2 linked regions of the Arabidopsis thaliana genome follow. The protein of the gene in region 2 interacts with the protein of the main gene of each other region in a pairwise test. Each region holds a gene or a part of one and is shown on either strand. Other genes may lie near its edges.

Region 1 (7,572 bases), 3.6 Mb from region 2:
TTACACATTATCTAAATCGATATAAAAACAAACCCAAAAAAAAAAAGCGAACAGAAGAAACAAATCATTCATCTTAGGTTTCATCATTCAACCAAATTTAATGATTAAACTTGAATATTTGTGTATATAATATATTAATATGTACATTGATATCCAACGGGTCGGGCTTAGACGCTTAGTTAAATGATCAAAACGGCCCTCAATGATTTGGGGAGCCATAGTCCGATCCCCATTAGCCGCGTCCGGGACAATGACATGACCAAACCAAAGGTCATCAAACTCTTTGAAAATAGTTGAATCCTCGTGTAAATCATAAATAACGTATCAATAATAATCAAAGGTTTATACTTTATACTATAAATGCGCACGACGTCTCTTTCTCTCTCTCTCTCTTCCTCTATTTCTTAGATTTGTCATTTGTTATTCGTCTGAATACGGCAGGTCCTATCTACACATGTAACAATAATGTCGTTTAAAATTAGTGTTTTTAATCTCACTGCCAGTACTATAAGATTTTGATATCATATAAGATCAATATCATTGATCGATCCGAGACAAAAGAAAGAAAAACTAAATTATGTTCATTAATCGTTATGTATAGCGTAAGTCGTGTGATGTCAAACCATCTCGTGATTGAGTATGATGGGTACAAAAGCTAGGAGACCAAACCCTGAGGTAAAGTAATTACTGATTGTATGAACAATTTTTGTGTGAGCAAAAAAAAACCTGTAAAATATATATATATGCCCATGATAAGATGATATCACATTTTTGTAATGAAAACGGTGTGATTTAACTAAATTTTATGTCCTTATCTTGGTGCATACAAGGCGTTTTCAAAGATACATATAATAATTTCCCGTACAATCGAATAGAAGCATTGGATTATTGGAATAATACATGTTTTATCGTACGGTAACTTAAGTGCTTACTCGGTTCTGTTTGATAAGGTATACGAAACAACATTTTCAAGCTTATGCCTTCTTAATGATCTAATTAAGTATGCTTAACTGTTTTTATTTGCTTAATGGATATGTTGAAGTCAAAGAACAAGAGGTAATCAGTTCTTGCTTGTCTCTTCATACTATTCATATCTGAATGTGATGTTATATAATATATTCTTATTGTAGGAATCGTGAACCCTAAAAGTGTGACATTGATTTGGTACTAAATATCATTGTGAATCTGCTAACTGGAAAGCGAATTCCTCCAAGCCATGTAAGCCATTCTGTTTCAAACCATGTAAGCCATTCATCTTGACTTTGTGACTTTAATCCTTAGAGAATCTGTCTTTTTCAATTCCTTGCAACACAAGTCACATTTCTGCTGAGTAAATTAGTTGTGATATAGTAATCCTTAATTTCTTGCCACACAAGACACATATTACTGAGTTGTTATCCTCCTATTTTTAGGCTCCTGTGAGGAGAAACGGAAAGTTTGTTACTGAGCTGATGAATCCAAATCTCAAGGGAAAGTTCTCAACAGAAGAAGCTTTCCTAGTTTTCAAACTCGCCTCTGAATGTTTGCAGTGCGAACATAGAAAAAGTCTCATCACAAAAGAGCTTGTTGCAACACTTAAAGCCTTGCAAACTAAACCACACGTAAGGAGCTAGGCTTACTATAACCATATGCATTCTTGATGATATTTCTCGCACTCGTGTTATAAAACCTATCGTTTTGCTTGCAGATTCCAAACATTCAAATGCTTGAACTGGAAAAGTAGCACGAGGTGGGAGCATCTTCCAGTCAACAACAACAGTTTGAACTGTTTAGCGTTCTTAAGTATGCAGATTCCAACTTCTTCTTAAGTTATAAAACCGATCTTTTGTTTGCAGATTCCAACTTCTGAAATGACAAAGCAGAATCTGGAGGCATCATCTTCAAGTCAAACTAAAGCATAAGTAAGAATAGGACTTATTGTTACCCTTAATGAATTCTTTATGAGTTTTCGTACTAAAAAACAGATCATCATCATCTTGCTTGCAGGTTCCATCTTCTAATATGGAAAATTTAAGCAGAAGAATCATCTTCCACACTGAATCTGCTAGTAGCTTTAACAAAGCAACACTTCTCGAAGCAAAGAGATCCAACAACATGCATGGTTAGGGAAGAAGAATCTTGAGTTTATGTTAAAAAATATAAAAAAGAAGTGATATCTTTTACCCTTGTTATATATTAAAAAAAATACGTATACATTTCTCTCTTCTTTTTGTTAAAGGGTTCAAATGAATTTATCTCATTAATTAACAATATCACTAGCAAAACTATAATTCTACTAAAAAAGTTTTCAAATAATTAACCAAAAAAAATATCATACACCTTTGAAATCCACTTGTCACACCACCATGCAATTTCAAACTTCCTAAATATGAAAATATAATTTTGACCCACTAGTGAAAAAACAAGGAAAATATATAACAAAAAACTATAATAATAACTAGAAGATGAAGATCAACGATAAAGATTGCGTAATCTTGAGTTTAGATTTTAGGGATAATAGTCTGTTATAAAAGGTTCTTTCCTTTGTGTAAACTCACTTGTTAGTGATAACAATCTCTTTCTCTTTCTCTCTCGCAAAGAACGCTTTCAATATTCTCTCTGCTTTTGCCGGCGAAAACGAAACCATGGGTGGTTGTTGCTTCTCGACGCCTCTTGATAACAATCAACAACCTCCACAACAGCCACAGATTCCTCCCGGCGAACGCAAGAACGACGGATTCGTCAACTGGCCTGTCACAGAGTTCTTCCTCTCCGATATCACCACGGCGACCAATAACTTCAGTTCCGACGAGATCATATCAGAGAACGCAGAAGAATCTTCCAATGTTGTCTACAAAGGTTGTTTATTAGAGAATCTTGGCTTCGTAGCTGTCAAGAGATTCAAGAATACGCCTTGGGATGATCCTGACTACTTCACGGTACCTTTTCTTTGCTTTTAAAGGTTATCAAAGTTTGCAACGTTCATTTGATCTCTTTTGTTTCTTCAGGAAGACGCAAAAACAGCTGGGGAGCTAAAGCACAAGAGACTTGTCAAGTTGTTGGGATATTGCTGCGAGGAAGATGAAGGACTTCTTGTTGCAGAGTTTATGCCAAATGATACTCTTGCTAAGCGTTTATTCCAGGGTATGATTCCTTCTCTTCTTTCGTTTTCAGATATAGAATTGGTGAATATGAGCTTAAGAGTCTGGATTGTTAGTCGATCTGTTCTATAGATGTATGTGCTCTGTTTTGAATCTTGGCAGAGAGGCTGCATTGTTGGTTTTTGTGGCATGATTGTGGGTGTAGAATGGTATAAACGTATCTGAAGATAGAGAGAGTGCATTGTTGTTGGTTTATGTGACATGCTATAGAATGGTGTAAATGTATCTGCTTGTAGAATTGATTGAAACAGAACTTATTAGCATTCTCTGTTTGAGGTTTCTTTTTTCTTTTGTGATGCACAGAGAAGAACATGGAATGGTCAATGAGGTTGCGAGTGGCGTATCATATAGTTGAAGCATTGGATTATTGCAATTCTGTACGTTTTGACGAGTACGATAATCTAAGTGCTTACACTGTTCTGTTTGATAAGGTATGTTAAACAACATTTTTCATGCCTATGCCTTGTCATGTGATCTAAGGATGCTAAACTGTTTTTACTGGTGTTGAAGGATGGTGATGCCTGTCTTTCTAGTTTCGGCTTGGTGAAAGAGATCATCCGTTACAATCGAAGAGAAGGAGGTAACCAATTCGCTCTTGTATCTTCAGACTATTCATATCAGAATGTAATGTTTTATATTCTCATTGTAGGGAACGTGAGGACTGGGAATGTGACATACAGATTTGGTACTATCCTTGTGAATCTGCTAACTGGATTGCAAATTTCTCCGAGCCATGTAAGTAATTCTGTTCAAGCTTGACTTTGTGGAATCCTTGGTTTCTTGCAACACAAGTTACATTTTACTGAGTGGTTATTTATCCTCTGTTTCTAGGCTCCTGAGATGATCAATGGAAAGGATGTCACTGAGCTCATGGATCCAAATCTGAAGGGAAAGTTCTCTACAGAAGAAGCTACTATAGTTTTAAAACTCGCCTCTGAATGTTTGCAGTGGAAGGGTTATATAGAGAATGGCATCACTAAAAAGCTTGTTGCAACACTTAAAGCCTTGCAGGCTAAAAAAGAAGTAAGGAGGCTTACTGTTACAATAATTTCATCCCTGAAGATTTTTCGCATTCATGTTATAAAACCAAATCTTTTTGCTTGTAGATTTCATCTTCTGAAATGCATGAAGTAACAAAGCAGCACGATGTGGCATCATCTTCGAGTCAACAACAACTTCCACCCTGAATCTGCTAATAGCTTCAACAAAGTAACTCTTCTCGAAGCAACATTTTTAGGGAAGAAGAATCTTGATTTTCTCACTTAGTGTACTGACACTGTGAAGAAACACCATAATCCATGCATGATACATATACATGTATGATCAAACAATATAAACTTTTTACATAGGGAAAAAGATTCAACGTTTTAAACTTCATAAAGCTAATTTCTTGAATATTGGACATTTAGTAAATAACTCTATTTGCATTTCATAAACTAATTAACTTATATATAGAATACAATACCACAATCCTATACGTTCATCATACAAAGTATCACACATATATACAGAGAGAGTTTTTTGTTAATTAAGAGAAAGAACCAAATACCCAATAAATATATAAAACCTTAAGTTATCATATATCAAAGTCCTAACCTAAGATCCAAGGAACAACCTAACGTTGTGTCTGAAGATGTCGCCGCAGGAACATTAAGATCAATGCCCCTGACTTGGTTCTCTTCCTGATCTTTCTCCCAATGACATCTCATGTGACCTCCTAACGCTTGACCACTGGAGAACACTCTAGAACAGATGTTACATCGATGATTCATCCCCGAGACCAACTTCACACTCTTGCCCTTATCTTGATCAACGATCTCTTGAGGAGGTGGAGGAGGAGGATCTTCGGTTATGTTTTTATTGGCGAAACATCCTTTGACGTCTTTATGTGTTGCTCTATGTCCGCCTAACGCTTGATGTGACCCAAACACTTTCTTACAACCATCACACTCAAACCGTTCCTCAACTTCACTTGAACGGGTTGGGACATCACCATTAGCCATCATTAGTAAACAGGAGGCTATGTTATGCTCTTCCTCAGATGGATCCCAACTCGAGGATGATGACGCAGCGTTTGAGTTGATCCTACGTTTGAAGTTAGAAGGAGGGTTGATGCCACGCCACTGACGTTCAGGGTGACATCTCATGTGTCCAAAGAGTGCCTTCAGTGACCCGAATTGTTTACCACATTCAGTACATGGTCGTGCGATTTGTGAAGCATCAGGGTCCGGTTGCGTGACCGGTTTAGGCCTTGGAGAAGACGAAGAAGAACCGACTTCGTTGTTGGTGAGTTTAGTACGTTTTCTTCTTGGGTTTTGATTGTAACTAGGAAGAGTTACATTGGAGGAAGCAAATGGGATATCGGAATTGGGATCGGAGTTTGAAGTGTTCGACATTATTATTGAGTCTCTTACTAGAGAGAAGACAGAAAAACTAAAAGAGAGGAAAAAAAAAAGTAGAAGAGTGGGAGTTATGGTTGGTTAAGTAGAAGAAGAACAAGTTAGTTTTCATCGACGGTTTCTTAGCAGTTACTTCTCCCTGTTTTGTCGGATTTACATTTCTTTTTTTGTTTTCCTCATAAGTTTTGTTTTTCTTTCAATTATTATTGTATTTATCTTTGTTATTCGAATGAAAAACTTAACGCTCAATCACAAATTATCAACGTCACTACAGCTATATTTAATAAGTAAAATGGAGATAAGAAAACGTAAATGTAACCATTCCACATTTCGAAATCAACTTCTACAGATGTACGAGGTAACAACTTCAAATAGAATCTGAAAGATAACAGACGACCCAAAGTATGTAAAAAAGGTTGTGGGGATTGGGTAAAGAGGAAAGAAGATGACCATTGAAAACAAATAGTGTATCGATGAGCGGCTTTTCTATCCACAAGTTCGCGATCCTATCATAAATGTAGTTATACGAATTCCATAAATTAGATTACTGAAAGAAAACACATTGTTTATTCTATAATTGAGAAGCCAGAGTGGAGTGATATCAGTTCACGAACCTGTATGTTACTGGCCAATACTCCCCAAGAGTCGTTCTACAGCAGCGTTAACGTTACCATTGGTTGCAAGCAAAGCCCTTATGTTCTCTGCTCTGTCGTAGAATCCCATTTCTTGCAACTGTTGCAACTGAGTCGCAAATCGCTCTTCAGGAGGAACTGGAATCAAATAGACATGTTTCAGTGGAACCATCTCAATAGATATATAAGAAATCAAAGTATAGCCCCTAGTGAATCTAACCATTGGGTTGGTTTGTGCCACTTAGGCCGCCAGCACCAAGGCTGCCAAACATATTCATCAATAAATCTAGTCCTCCGTTATTGGCTGTCCCTATAAATATTTCCATAGTAGTGATTTACTCAATAAGCAACGTAATGAATATACGATTAAAGTAAAGCAAAAGAACAAAAAAAAGCACACTGTCTAAGTGAACTAGTTGAAGCCTTCATACTTCAATTACAGATAATATAGTACCTGTCGCAGCACCAGTTTGCGTAGGATCCCTACAAAGAAGATGGATTGGGAACATGAATAGAGGTTGATGGAAATCAAGATCACTGATATCAAATGTTAAAGGAAAGAACCAAAAAAGAACGAAAATTTTTATGCTCCTATTCAAGTTTATTTCAAGGACTAAAATACTTTACAGCCGTTGATAAAGGTCACTAATGATCAGCCCAGTAAAACATACAAGAGTTGCTGCATTACTAATGATTCAACCCATTTATTACTTAATATAAGATAGTTCACCACCGAGAGAATTACCTGGTTAGCTAGTGACACTATTTTCTAAACACAGATCAACCCAAAATCCTATTATGATATATAAAGGACATTACCTACTCAACTAATGTTCCAACTAAAGAAAACAGAAAAGGGTATCCAAACTTACTGGCCAGCCGTGTTCCTATTCTGAGAGAAAAGTGATTGTTGTAGAGACATCATTTGCTAAAAAGACCAAAAAACAATAGAAAACATTAGGTCGGAGAAATTTGACTACTGAATGATATAAAAATAATTATCTGGAGAGACAACATGGGCCCAACTAACCTGCATCATCTCGGGAGAGCTAAACTGGCGAAGGAAATCAGGGTTCTGCATCATTTCCCTCAACTGAGGATTCATATCTAGCATGCTTCGGAGTTGTGGGTTAAGACTCATAAGCTGGAAATGAAGGAAATATTAAAATATTAAAGACAGCCTCACAATAGCTACAATGTCTAAAATTCAGATTACTGAAGGCGCTACCTGATTCATGTACTGTGGATTGGAAAGTACGCTTTGCATCATCTGCGACATAGCGGGGTTTTGCAGTATTTGGCTCAATTGAGAAGCATCTGGAGTCGCACCAAGAGGTGAGTCCGCTCCCAGCATACCGAGTCCACCAAGGCCTCCAAGCCCACCAAGACCACCAAGTCCAG
Region 2 (11,700 bases):
CAAACATTGTATGTCAACAAGAAGTTCTTTTACAAGCACAGATAACACAAAACCTGATCATAGAAGTAACCGTAGAGCCGCAGAATATTGGGATGCCGAAGATGAGATTGAATCTCTACTTCCCTTCGTAACTGGTGTTCAACTTGAGATTGTTGAAGCTGAGCCTTAAAAAGAACCTTTAAAGCCACAATGTGATCGCTCTGTTTGCAAAGACACATAGAAGACAGCTTGGTTAAAAAAGACATCAAATTAATTCTGCTTGTTTAACATAATTGTGAAGAAACACTAACCCGTTTCTCTCTTGCTAGATAAACATGGCCAAACTTTCCTCTACCAAGTGGCTTTCCGATATCGAAATCGCTTGTAGTCCATCTCTTTTGTGCAGCCTCTGAAGCCGCCTGATACAACATTATCACAAAGATTGAAATCCAATCAACTCTCAGATACACTTAATCATAAACGACAAACAATCATTGATACTTTAAAACTTGAAGATAAAAGGATAAAATCAACAGCTCCTTAACACTAATCCACGGATTTGTCAATTAATCTAGGGTCCTCGCTGTAAACGAATAAATCCACAATCATATCATGAAATTTCTCAAAATCATACCAACAAGTCTTTCTCAAATTAAACAGAGAACATTGAAACAAGATTCTTTCTGGCGCAAAGAAAATCAAGCAACCAAATCGATAATCCCAGATCACATTCCATTAGAACAGACCAAACGCAGAGAAAAAACGCAAACCAACAAGGAAGTAAAACCCTAAATTGAAACAAATTCGACAAAAGAACCAAATGAAATTGGAATTTGTGAAACCAAGAACAAGTTATTTTCTTACAATTTGCTGCGTCTCTGTAGAAATCCCCATGGAAGAGATCGTTGATGAGCCAAGATAGCGAGAGAAAGAGAAGAAAGAAAGAGAGAAGAGAGAGTAATTTTCACAAAGGGAACAGATCCAAATTGAGAAATTTAAAAAGGGGAAAAAACGTAAACCACCAGCAAAGCAGCAACGGTCGAATCCAGATGCTGCCACGTGTTGATACATCTGCATCGAGGTTTTTATTTTCAAATAATTTGTCTCCCGAGATGATACAGTCGCTACAGGCCCAGATATTATTAAGCCCACGGTATTCCAACTTCATAATCACTAGGATAATATACAGTCACTACAAGCCCAGATAATAGCCCAATAAGCTTCAAGATCGTTTGACGATGAGATTTTAATTCGGAACTAAGTAACCACGTGTCAGTACCTCGTCAAAGTAGCTCCATGCAGAACTGACACGCCCGCGTGACACTCTTCTCCATTGCCTAACACGCCTCGTCGTTCGACACATGTCTCGTTTAAGTTTAGCCTCTCCTTCATACTAGTCTATTTTCATTCTTCATAATAATCACAAATGGTAAGCTTATTAAAGCTACAAAAACAACATAGAACATTAAATCCATACTCTCTTAGAAAAAGAAAAAAAGAAATGGCGGATCATCAACAACATCAGCAACAACAACAACCAATAATGAGGAGTCTCCATGAATCATCACCATCGACTCGGCAGATAGTGAGATTCGTAACGGCAGCTACGATCGGCCTATCACTCCTCGTGCTCTCAGGACTAACACTAACCGGAACGGTGATCGGTTTGATCGTAGCGACGCCGTTGATGGTTCTGTTCAGCCCGGTGTTGGTACCGGCAGTGATAACGATAGGGCTTTTGACGATGGGATTCCTATTCTCCGGTGGTTGTGGGGTGGCAGCAGCTACGGCGTTAACGTGGATTTATAAGTACGTTACCGGAAAACACCCGATGGGAGCGGATAAGGTGGATTACGCGAGGATGAGGATAGCGGAGAAAGCCAAAGAGTTGGGACATTATACGCACTCGCAGCCACAACAAACACACCAAACCACAACAACTACTCATTAGAGTTTAATAATTATATGGATCTATATGTTGTATTAAGTTTTATGATTATCCTACGTATGTTTTTTTAATACTGTTCTTACCTTTTTGAAAAGATCTATCTAAAATTTTATTTTCTATTTTCCATACAATTTTTTGTGTGTTTAATTGCTGATCGGTATTTTCTGTTTTATGATTGTGAAATAGCTAGTGTAAGGAAAGATGATAACGAATTAAGTAAATTAATAAATGCCAATTACTTGGTCACCGTCTGGCTTCTAGAATTATATGGTGGCTTTCTTGGTATATGTAAATGTAGTTTTGAGTGTGGTCCGTTTGATTTGAAATAATATTGTTGTTTTTATGTTCAAAAAGAAAATTGCAAGGTTTGTGAATTTTGTGTATCAATACCAAGGCTTGAACCACTTTATCTATACTCGCTAAATAAATTTCGAAGGCTGCGCTAAATGGCTCGTGTCATTTACGTTGTCTTCATGAACGTATTGTAGTTAGTGTGATTGTAAAAATATTTCTTTGTTTAATCATTCCTCAAAAATTGTATTCGGCCTTTGAGAGATGCGGTGAGGTCGTATGCATGTTTTCCCAAATTTCGAATACTTGCAAACTGTTCTATGAATGTGGTTTTTAGGTACTCATGAAATAATTGAAAACTTTACTTGTCTATATGTTCGTAAACCATTGGCATTGAATTGCATGGCATGGCTTACTATGCGCGCACCAACAAAATGCACATGCATGCTTCACGAACGTATAAAGAAGCTGAGGGTGGACAACATTCACTGCTTGTAGTGGGCAATGCAGTCTTGTAGAGCAGTTGTACTTTCAAACGAGGTTCTTTGTCAACGTCTGATTGGTTTTCTAGAATAATTGAAGGAGTACTTTTGTCCTTATCCTCGCAATGGACTGAGTAAGTTTCCTCCGCGGTTCCCTACTGGCCATGAGCTATGAATTTTTCAAGTGGTGGGTGCCAGGTGCCGGGTGGGTGCGGCGTTAGGATTATTCCTAAAGTTGAGGATCGATATACGGTTAAGTTTTTTTGTTATGGAGTGGTGTTTCGTAGTTTGTCATTGCATCAGTTTGATAATCTCTTTCTTCTAGCACCAGATTGTTTAGATAAATGTTAGGATATATGTGGAAGCAAAGGAATGATGTGGTTCACAACCAAGTCTCGATCCCAATATCAACTATCTTCAAGCTCATCGACAAAGAGATTCAGAACGTAAGCACCGCAAGACGTAAATGCAAGCGTTATTGCAACCTAATGCAAACTCTGGTTAATTTTAACTCCCACTATGTAATGTGACTTCTACATCATTTGTCTCTTTGTTTAATTTTTTGGCCAAAGATTCAAATCCATTGATATTCAGAGACAATAGTCTATATGGATTTATTAGATATAGTCTATATGGACTTATTAGATGATATTAACATTCATAGAGAAAACAACAAATTAGGATACGTTTTCTTTCTAATGAGAAAGTGAATGTACGAATGGTTGTTGGGAGGCTATTGTGTCTCGTAGATATTTTAAATAATTTGAATGTTTACTAATATAGAATGTGTATTCAATTATAACTATTTAAATTATTTTATTGTTGGTTTAGACGCATTCTTAAACTTTCACATCATTCTCTCGTGACTATTATAATAGTTATCGTGCTCGATCAATCATCTCGTGACTATTATAATTTTATCAATAGTTTATGCATAAGAGAACTGATAACGATCATACTTCTTTTTGTCATTATGATAGCTTATGATTAATCATTGTTTATCCATACTTGACGCTTGTAAGTGAAACATATGTTTAAATTTTCAGGCTTAATTTAATAGCCACGAACCAAAAATTATCTTATAATAAAAGTTTGGTGCGATTTAAGAAGATTTGTCCCCAAAGCCCTATCTGAAAGAGGTCAAATTGGATTATTAAATTCAACATATTAATCAATTTGATATTTGTTTAATGGTCTGATTAGTGACAATTATAAGTCTAATATTGCGAATCTTTTGCAGTGAGTATTCCACGTGATATAGATAAGTTTCCCTTAATGGATAACCTTTGCATCAAACAATTAGAAAACAAATGGAAGAGTATCAATCAAGTAGATCTCGAAGCAGTGGACCCTAACACGATACTGGAACATGGACCAAACCTTAAAATATCGTCCAAATTGCTTATTTTCTGGAAGGTTACAAGTGCACAACACTCTAATAATATATGCCCCGCATAACAATTTTTAAAACTATTTCATCTTAGACCTCGGATATTTTGAAGGAAGCACATTTTCTTGAAAATCACTAGGTGACTTGTGTTTCTTTCTTTGGAGCATGTCAATTTACTCCCATCAGCTGGAGAGCCAAAAGTTAAAATTAATGTTCGAAATTTATTTCATAAAAGCTACGTACGTTGCATCCTTCCATGATCTAGAAAAAATGGGGGACAATAACCAAATTTATTCACTCTTGTCAGGTCATGGGGAGTAGTCTACGACCTTGAAAGTCACGTGACAAGTAATATATACTGTACCGTCCAAATATTTTCTTACTGTAATGTCTTATGTTTCATATCGCTAGACCCTTAATATTAGTGTGGACTAATTCATATAATTGCAAATAAAATAGTATGATTCTACGATTCTTCAAAATGATCTAATAGTTACAGTCTGGTCAAAATGATCTAAATCTTTATAAACAAATAACAGCTACGGAATAATTAACACAATTTTTGGTGATAAACTTTGAGTTATGATAGAAATTTTTTTTTTTTCAATTTTTAATGTGTATCTTAATTTCTTCAATTAATGTATCCCTATGTTTTATGTGACTATATAACTTTTGGTTAGTGATACTCCAAAAATGTTGTTTTAGGTTTTGACACACATATTAATAATTTGTTTTATTTTTTACTTTACAAAATTTCTTATTGGTTAAAACATAAATCACTGCAAATAAAACTTTAATTTTGTTTGTAGTCAAAATTAGCTTTTAAAAATGTAAATTGATATTTATTCTAATTATTTTTTTAATGTTCTGACAATTAATTTAAAACGGAAAGCGTAATAAAGTAGATGTTGGGGCTGATTGGTAACGGCTGTTACTTTTGAACTCTAAATATTTCGGATGTTACGACTTTGACTGTAAAAATTTTGGTTGTAAAAATTTTGACGATAGAAACTTTAACTGTTAAAGTCTGATTGGTACAAAAAAATCACAATTATTTTTATTATTATTTAATATTTTTTATAAATATTATTTATGCTAAAAAATCAATTTATTTGGTAAAATAGTAACTAAAATAAATTTATTTTAAAAAAATACAAAATTCATTTTACAAATTCACTATTTTAAATATTTAAATTGGATCTGAAAAGAACAGAAAAAATAAAATTCGAATTAATCAATCGATTTTTTAATGATAAAATATAAATAAATTTGAAAAGAGTTTTGAAATTTTATGGATAAAGAAAAAATATTTTTATTTTGTTTTATTATTCTCTTTTAAAGTTAAAGACTTTAGGAAAAAAACAAAAGAAAAAAAGTAAATGGAGAGAAAAAAGCTTTTAAAACTTTAAAAATTAATAAAGTTTTAAAAGTGTGATTGATTAAAAAATAAATTTGAAAATTTTTAAATATTTTTAAAGCTTTGAAAACATTTTTTTTTTTTTTGGGGGGACAAATATGAAGAAAAAAAAAAAAAAAAAAAGACGAACATGAAGGGGAAAAAAACAAAAGACGAACAAAAATTGGAGATTTTTTCTTACACGTGTCATCATCTGCAGATTTGCGCTTATTAATTGTTTACCGTACGGTATTGTGGATAGGGTCAAGATTTTCATAACTTTACCGTAGTTAATATTTGACCCAACCATGGTTAAAATAAAGCAGTTTATATCACAGACACACACCTCTCTCTCTTCTAGACTCACTAAACAAAAATGATGATCGGCGAAAATAAAAACCGGCCACATCCAACGATCCATATCCCTCAATGGGATCAAATCAACGATCCAACGGCCACAATCTCTTCACCATTCTCTTCCGTCAACCTTAACAGCGTTAACGACTACCCACACTCTCCGTCACCGTATCTCGACTCCTTCGCTTCTCTCTTCCGTTACCTCCCGTCAAACGAGTTAACAAACGATTCAGACTCATCAAGTGGCGACGAGTCATCACCACTCACCGACTCATTCTCCTCCGACGAGTTTCGCATCTACGAGTTCAAAATCCGGCGATGCGCTCGAGGTCGATCTCATGATTGGACGGAGTGTCCGTTCGCACATCCCGGAGAAAAAGCTCGACGACGTGATCCGAGAAAGTTTCATTACTCCGGCACCGCTTGTCCTGAGTTTCGTAAAGGAAGTTGTAGAAGAGGTGATTCGTGTGAGTTCTCTCATGGAGTTTTCGAGTGTTGGCTCCATCCTTCTCGTTACCGTACTCAGCCGTGTAAAGACGGAACTAGCTGCCGGAGAAGAATCTGTTTCTTCGCTCATACGACGGAGCAGTTACGTGTATTACCTTGTTCGTTAGATCCAGATCTTGGATTCTTCTCAGGATTAGCTACTTCTCCGACTTCGATTCTTGTTTCTCCTTCGTTTTCACCACCGTCGGAATCTCCGCCGCTTTCTCCGAGTACCGGTGAACTTATTGCGTCGATGAGGAAAATGCAATTGAACGGAGGTGGTTGTTCGTGGAGTTCTCCGATGAGATCTGCAGTTAGGTTACCTTTTTCGTCGTCTCTGCGTCCGATTCAGGCGGCAACGTGGCCGAGGATAAGAGAGTTTGAGATCGAAGAAGCTCCGGCGATGGAATTTGTGGAATCTGGGAAAGAGCTGAGAGCGGAGATGTATGCAAGACTCAGTAGAGAGAACTCACTCGGTTGAGTCGACTTGGATCGAGTCTTTGATGACGTGGCGACTCGATCTGATTTTGTGAATATTTTAGAGATTTTTAAGGTGTTGTGGATAAATGACGTGGCGGGTCGATCTTAGTGACGGTACAATCGGACGATGAAGAAAAAAGCGTTAAGAGTAACAAAAAAAGGAAGAATTTGTAAAGAGATGATAATGAGAGAATTTGAGAGCTATTCTTCTGGCTTTTTTCTCTGCAGTTTTTTTTATTGTTTTCGTTATTTTCTTGTTTTTATTTTGGTTTTCGGCTTTATTTTGTTTGTTGTTTATTAATGTTATATCATTTTGTAATTAGTTCTCAAATGTATTTGGATAACATCTTAGTTTGAGACTTTAGAAAAGAACATTTCATTTGTTGTTTCCTTCTTATCGATTTCGTTGTTATAATAGTAAGAGGATATAAATATTTTTTGTTGGCCTGTTCTTTTTCCAAACGCTGCGATCATATCCAGCGACCAAAAAAACAGTTGCTTAACACACAATTACGTTGAAGTCTGTAGAAAGTTATGTGAAGAGGAGTCGCTCGATTTTAAAAACAGCGACCTATAAGGCATATACACGTGTCGCCAAAAAATAACAGCAACTTAACATTTTCACTAAGGACGCCGCCGGCGTCCATATTGAACGACTGTTTTTGTATCTCCGTTATAATTTTTGCTTTTCGTCGGAGTCCCTATTGCTGTCACAGCGATTAATAAACGAACAAGCCCAACAATTAATCAGAGAAAATAGTCTCGAGAAAATAACTCTCTTGCATCATATCTCTAATGAACATCAAATCTGCCTACAAATTCTATTTTTAAGTAAACATATTCCTTTTGACAAAAAAAAAAAACTATTTGGCTATTTCCAATGGTAGACTAGATCCACTCTGAAAATAGACTAATGACTAATGAATACTCATAATTTGGATAAAATTTTCATTTTCAGAATGATTTTCAAATTTAAATATGTTTTCAGTAATACACGAACAAATCTATATGTTTTAGGTATACATTGGGCATTTAATCAATACTAATATGGTTATCCAGTTAATTGAAATTTAAAAATACAACAATAATGTATTAAATTAAAAAATACAGTGACATAACAAACGATAATTTTATACATAATAAGTTATGAAATTTAACATAAAAACTCAAACAAACATAACAGAACATAGACTAGTAAACAGTTTTGTTTAAAAACTAATAACAAAAAAGAAATAGAATATGGTACACAAAAGAGAGTAATGGTAATCAATCCTATTTGCTTCGTGCAAATAGAGAGCATGAGACTCTTATTACTTACTTAGTTTGAGGAGAAAAGCTATGTTTTTTGTATTTTAATTATTAATTTTGAATAATGTATTGGTAGAACTTCTCTTATGAAATGAGATGTTTTTCTATTTTAATTTTCCTATTTATTGATTATGCTTTTTATATAATAGCTAATTTTTTAAAAAACATATTATTTAATTTGAATCGTTTTTGAGTAATGATATGAATGTAAAATCAAAATTTCACGTAACTTTCAAATTTAATACTAAAAATAGTTAGCATCAATAATTAAAAATGATACCAAAGGATTTATAACCTCACTAACAAAAATGATGTTTATCTTAAATTATAACATCATTTAAAAGAGTGATGCTAAATTGTTTTAGTTTCACTGAATTTAGCATCGCTTTCTAAAATGACTATATAATTCTACCGTCAGTTTAAAAGTCAAACTAACTTATAAAAAAAAAACTGATGCCAGATTTATTTATTTATTATCTTTTTAAAAAAATTTTAGTGATGATGCATCTCAGTATCTCAATGTTGTTTGTTTCTAACTTTCTATATTTAGTTTATAGTTTTATTAAAAAAAAAACTATTACATGGTCTAAAAAATCATAATTTTAACGTGAATTGTTTATATATGCAGTGAGTAAAACAAATAAATTTTCAGAATGCATTCCTCATTTATGAGAGAAGGAGTGTAATTTCTTCGCTTACTTTTTGAATGGAAGAAATCGTGTAATTTCTTAAAGTTGAATGATACTGCAATAATTATACAAAATGTTACTAATTAAGTAAAAAAAAAAAAGAAGAACAATACAAGGAACTAACAAACACAATTTTTTTTTTTATGCAAAATATAAGTAAAATATAAGTAAAAGATAAGCAAATGTACAATTTGGTTTTGATTAACCTATGCGTTTTTTTAGTATTTGGTCAAACCACGAATTAACTTGTTTCCAAAAACAAATTAGAAAAATTTCTGACTTTGGTTTGGCATGGTCTACAGCAGAGGGCAGAGAATCGATCAGGACAAAGTGTTTTGGAACAGCTGGTTACATTGCACCAAAATAAGCATGTAAGATTCTTCTTTAATATGTCAATATTTACATCTGATCACCAATATATTTGATTTATGACTCCTCTTTGTAATTACAGTGACTAACTACAAAAGCTGATGTCTATAGCTTTAAGGTACTTCTCATGGAATTAGTACCAGCCATCAAGCTATTATATGAAGATGATCATCACATTCCCAGTTGGTTCACGAAAGTATTCATCGACAAAGACTCATTCGAAAAAGCCATTAACAAAACCATGGACCTTAACTAGAAGACCGCATCATCATTAATGATTGACTAAATAAAGATATTATTTAATCTAAATGATATATAATATATTATTATAAAATGTTCATTACAGACATAGTTTTTTTAATATATCTGATGACAAATTAATACAAATGCTTATACCAACAAATAAAAATAATGAAAGAAACTAAATGATAAATAAAACTAAAACATAAATAAATAAATAAAAACAAATACAATCTTAGAGAGATAACTCTTGAATACGTATGACCAAATTAATCTTGGTTCCCCATAAAAGATATGAGTTTCCCACTCATATGTATGCAACTTCTTGGTGTTATAATAGCTAGGTCTCTATGCGTCTCAAAATTTTGTGGTGTTCTACTTTGTAATGTCATTTTTATAAATTCGAGTTTTCTTTTTATCACTTTCGTGTTTTGTCGTCTAGAAAATTCATGGTTAATCACACGTTAAATGTAGCATTGTTGTTTAATTAGATCATTCGTGCTTTGTTTTGATCGTATAGCTCAAGAGATTAATTACAGTTTGTTTTTATCGATAAACATGAGTGAGATGGTGTTGATGACAATTGGAGTTTATAATCAAAAGTTGTAATAAAAACCTAACTATGGGAATCTTGTCACGCAGGTAAAAAAGACCCTTTATCTCGTTTCTCTTATTGTTCTCTCTAAAATCGGATTGGTGATGATTGTTGTTATAACAGCCCAAGTAGTAGTAGGAGATCATCAGATGATAGCATGAAGCTTTTTACAACAGCATTGTTTGTTATAGCTTTTGGCATTGTTATTGGACTATCTTTTCCATCTTTATGGATCACTGAGGTTCTTCTTATTTCTCTTCAAATCTTTTACTTCTTAGATTTTATACTTCGTTTGTCGCATGCCATTTTTGTATTGTGTAGACAAGTCTCCCGAGAAACCTTCTTCGCTCCACTCACTTAGAGATTCAGGAATTGCAACTCCTCACAAAGCCATTGATGATCTCAAAGGCATGTTTTATGTAGGAATTTATACCTTTTTTCATGTTTTAAGAACAAACCAAAGCTTAAGGCATGTTTTGGTGCAGATATGGGAACCATCAAATCTTTGAGGCGCTGAGAGAATACCATCCGGTATCATTGCATCCGAATCAGACTTGTACTTGCGTAGATTATGGGGAACCCTGATGAGGTTTGTCCTCACTCTTTTGATATTACAGCTTTCATATGTGATCAATGAACATTAGCTTCAATTTTATTTTCTCTGTTTCCTCAGGATTTAGTGAAACAACCGAGATATCTAGCAACAATTACAGTGGGTTATAATCAGAGACACAATATAGATGCGTGTGTTAGCAAGGTTGCTTGATATAACACTTTTTGTTTTCTGTTTTTGCTTTATAGTAAACTCATTATGATTTGTCTACTCAAGTACAGTTTTCAGAGAACTTTACTATTGTTCTGTTTCATTACGATGGGGTAACAAGTGCATGGAATGATGAGTTTGAGTGGTCGAGGAATGCAATACACATAAGTGTCAAAAAGCAGACAAAATGGTATCAATATCTTTGCTTTAACCACTTTTTTTTATCTGGTTTCTTGACTCTCTCATATTGTGAATATAAGGTGGTATGCAAAGAGATTCTTGCACTCGGACATTGTAGCACTATACGATTATATATTCATATGGGATGAAGATCTTGGAGTTGATCACTTTAATGCAGAAGAGTGAGTTTCTTCTCTGACTCTTCTCACTTCCATTTAAATTTTTTTTACTATGTTTGTTGTTATAGATACATACACATAGTGAAGAAGCACGGCCTTGAGATTTCGCAGCCTGGTTTGGACCCATAGACTGGGTTTTACTGGCAGATCACAAAAAGAAGAGAACATAGTGAAATCCACAAGTATATACAACGTCCTTTATAGATTATTTTTGTTACATTACAAAATGGTTCTGAATATGGCTTGAACCTTAGCAGGGAGACAGATGAGAAACTCGAGTGGTGCTCTAATCCTCCCCGACCTCCATGTATGCAACTATCTATAACCTCTATATTTTTGAAATAATTGGCGCTTCCGTAACCAACCTCGGAAAAACGACCGGAACCCATTTGGTCTTTGTGTGTCGTCCAAAGCTGTAAGTGTCCACGATTTCACAATCCAATCAACTTTCGTTCCATAATCAGCTAAACTAGTAAAAATTTCCTTTTGCCAGTATCCTATAAATGAATTGTCGGGCCCTAAACTTAACCACCAATTTCCACTTTGAGATCATAGCAATTTAAAAATA

The links. The genes of interacting proteins can lie anywhere in the genome.
Region 1: the proteins of ATCTH (region 2) and DAZ1 interact in a two-hybrid assay, tested with the Arabidopsis thaliana proteins (one large-scale study listed by BioGRID).

Annotation. Positions count from the first base shown.
Region 1 is NC_003071.7:7,472,112-7,479,683, forward strand, and holds DAZ1 (C2H2-like zinc finger protein), read right to left. Parts: upstream 5,573-7,572; 5' UTR 5,537-5,572; coding exon 4,724-5,536; 3' UTR 4,551-4,723; downstream 1-4,550. Other genes in the region: AT2G17160 (Interleukin-1 receptor-associated kinase 4 protein), read left to right, coding at 643-675, 1,413-1,601, 1,836-1,901; AT2G17170 (Protein kinase superfamily protein), read left to right, coding at 2,625-2,918, 2,988-3,123, 3,444-3,571, 3,651-3,720, 3,790-3,875, 3,972-4,163, 4,247-4,327; AT2G17190 (ubiquitin family protein), read right to left, coding at 6,161-6,309, 6,392-6,481, 6,626-6,654, 7,044-7,099, 7,202-7,315, 7,400-7,572. UniProt on the Arabidopsis thaliana protein: Mediates the regulation of male germ cell division by DUO1.
Region 2 is NC_003071.7:11,035,955-11,047,654, forward strand, and holds ATCTH (Zinc finger C-x8-C-x5-C-x3-H type family protein), read left to right. Parts: upstream 1-5,376; 5' UTR 5,377-5,519; intron 5,520-5,611; 5' UTR 5,612-5,862; coding exon 5,863-6,810; 3' UTR 6,811-7,302; downstream 7,303-11,700. Other genes in the region: AUR2 (ataurora2), read right to left, coding at 54-200, 291-398, 844-1,056; AT2G25890 (Oleosin family protein), read left to right, coding at 1,406-1,930; AT2G25905 (uncharacterized protein), read left to right, coding at 10,038-10,057, 10,134-10,251, 10,289-10,422, 10,496-10,541, 10,684-10,767, 10,845-10,963, 11,034-11,135, 11,201-11,261.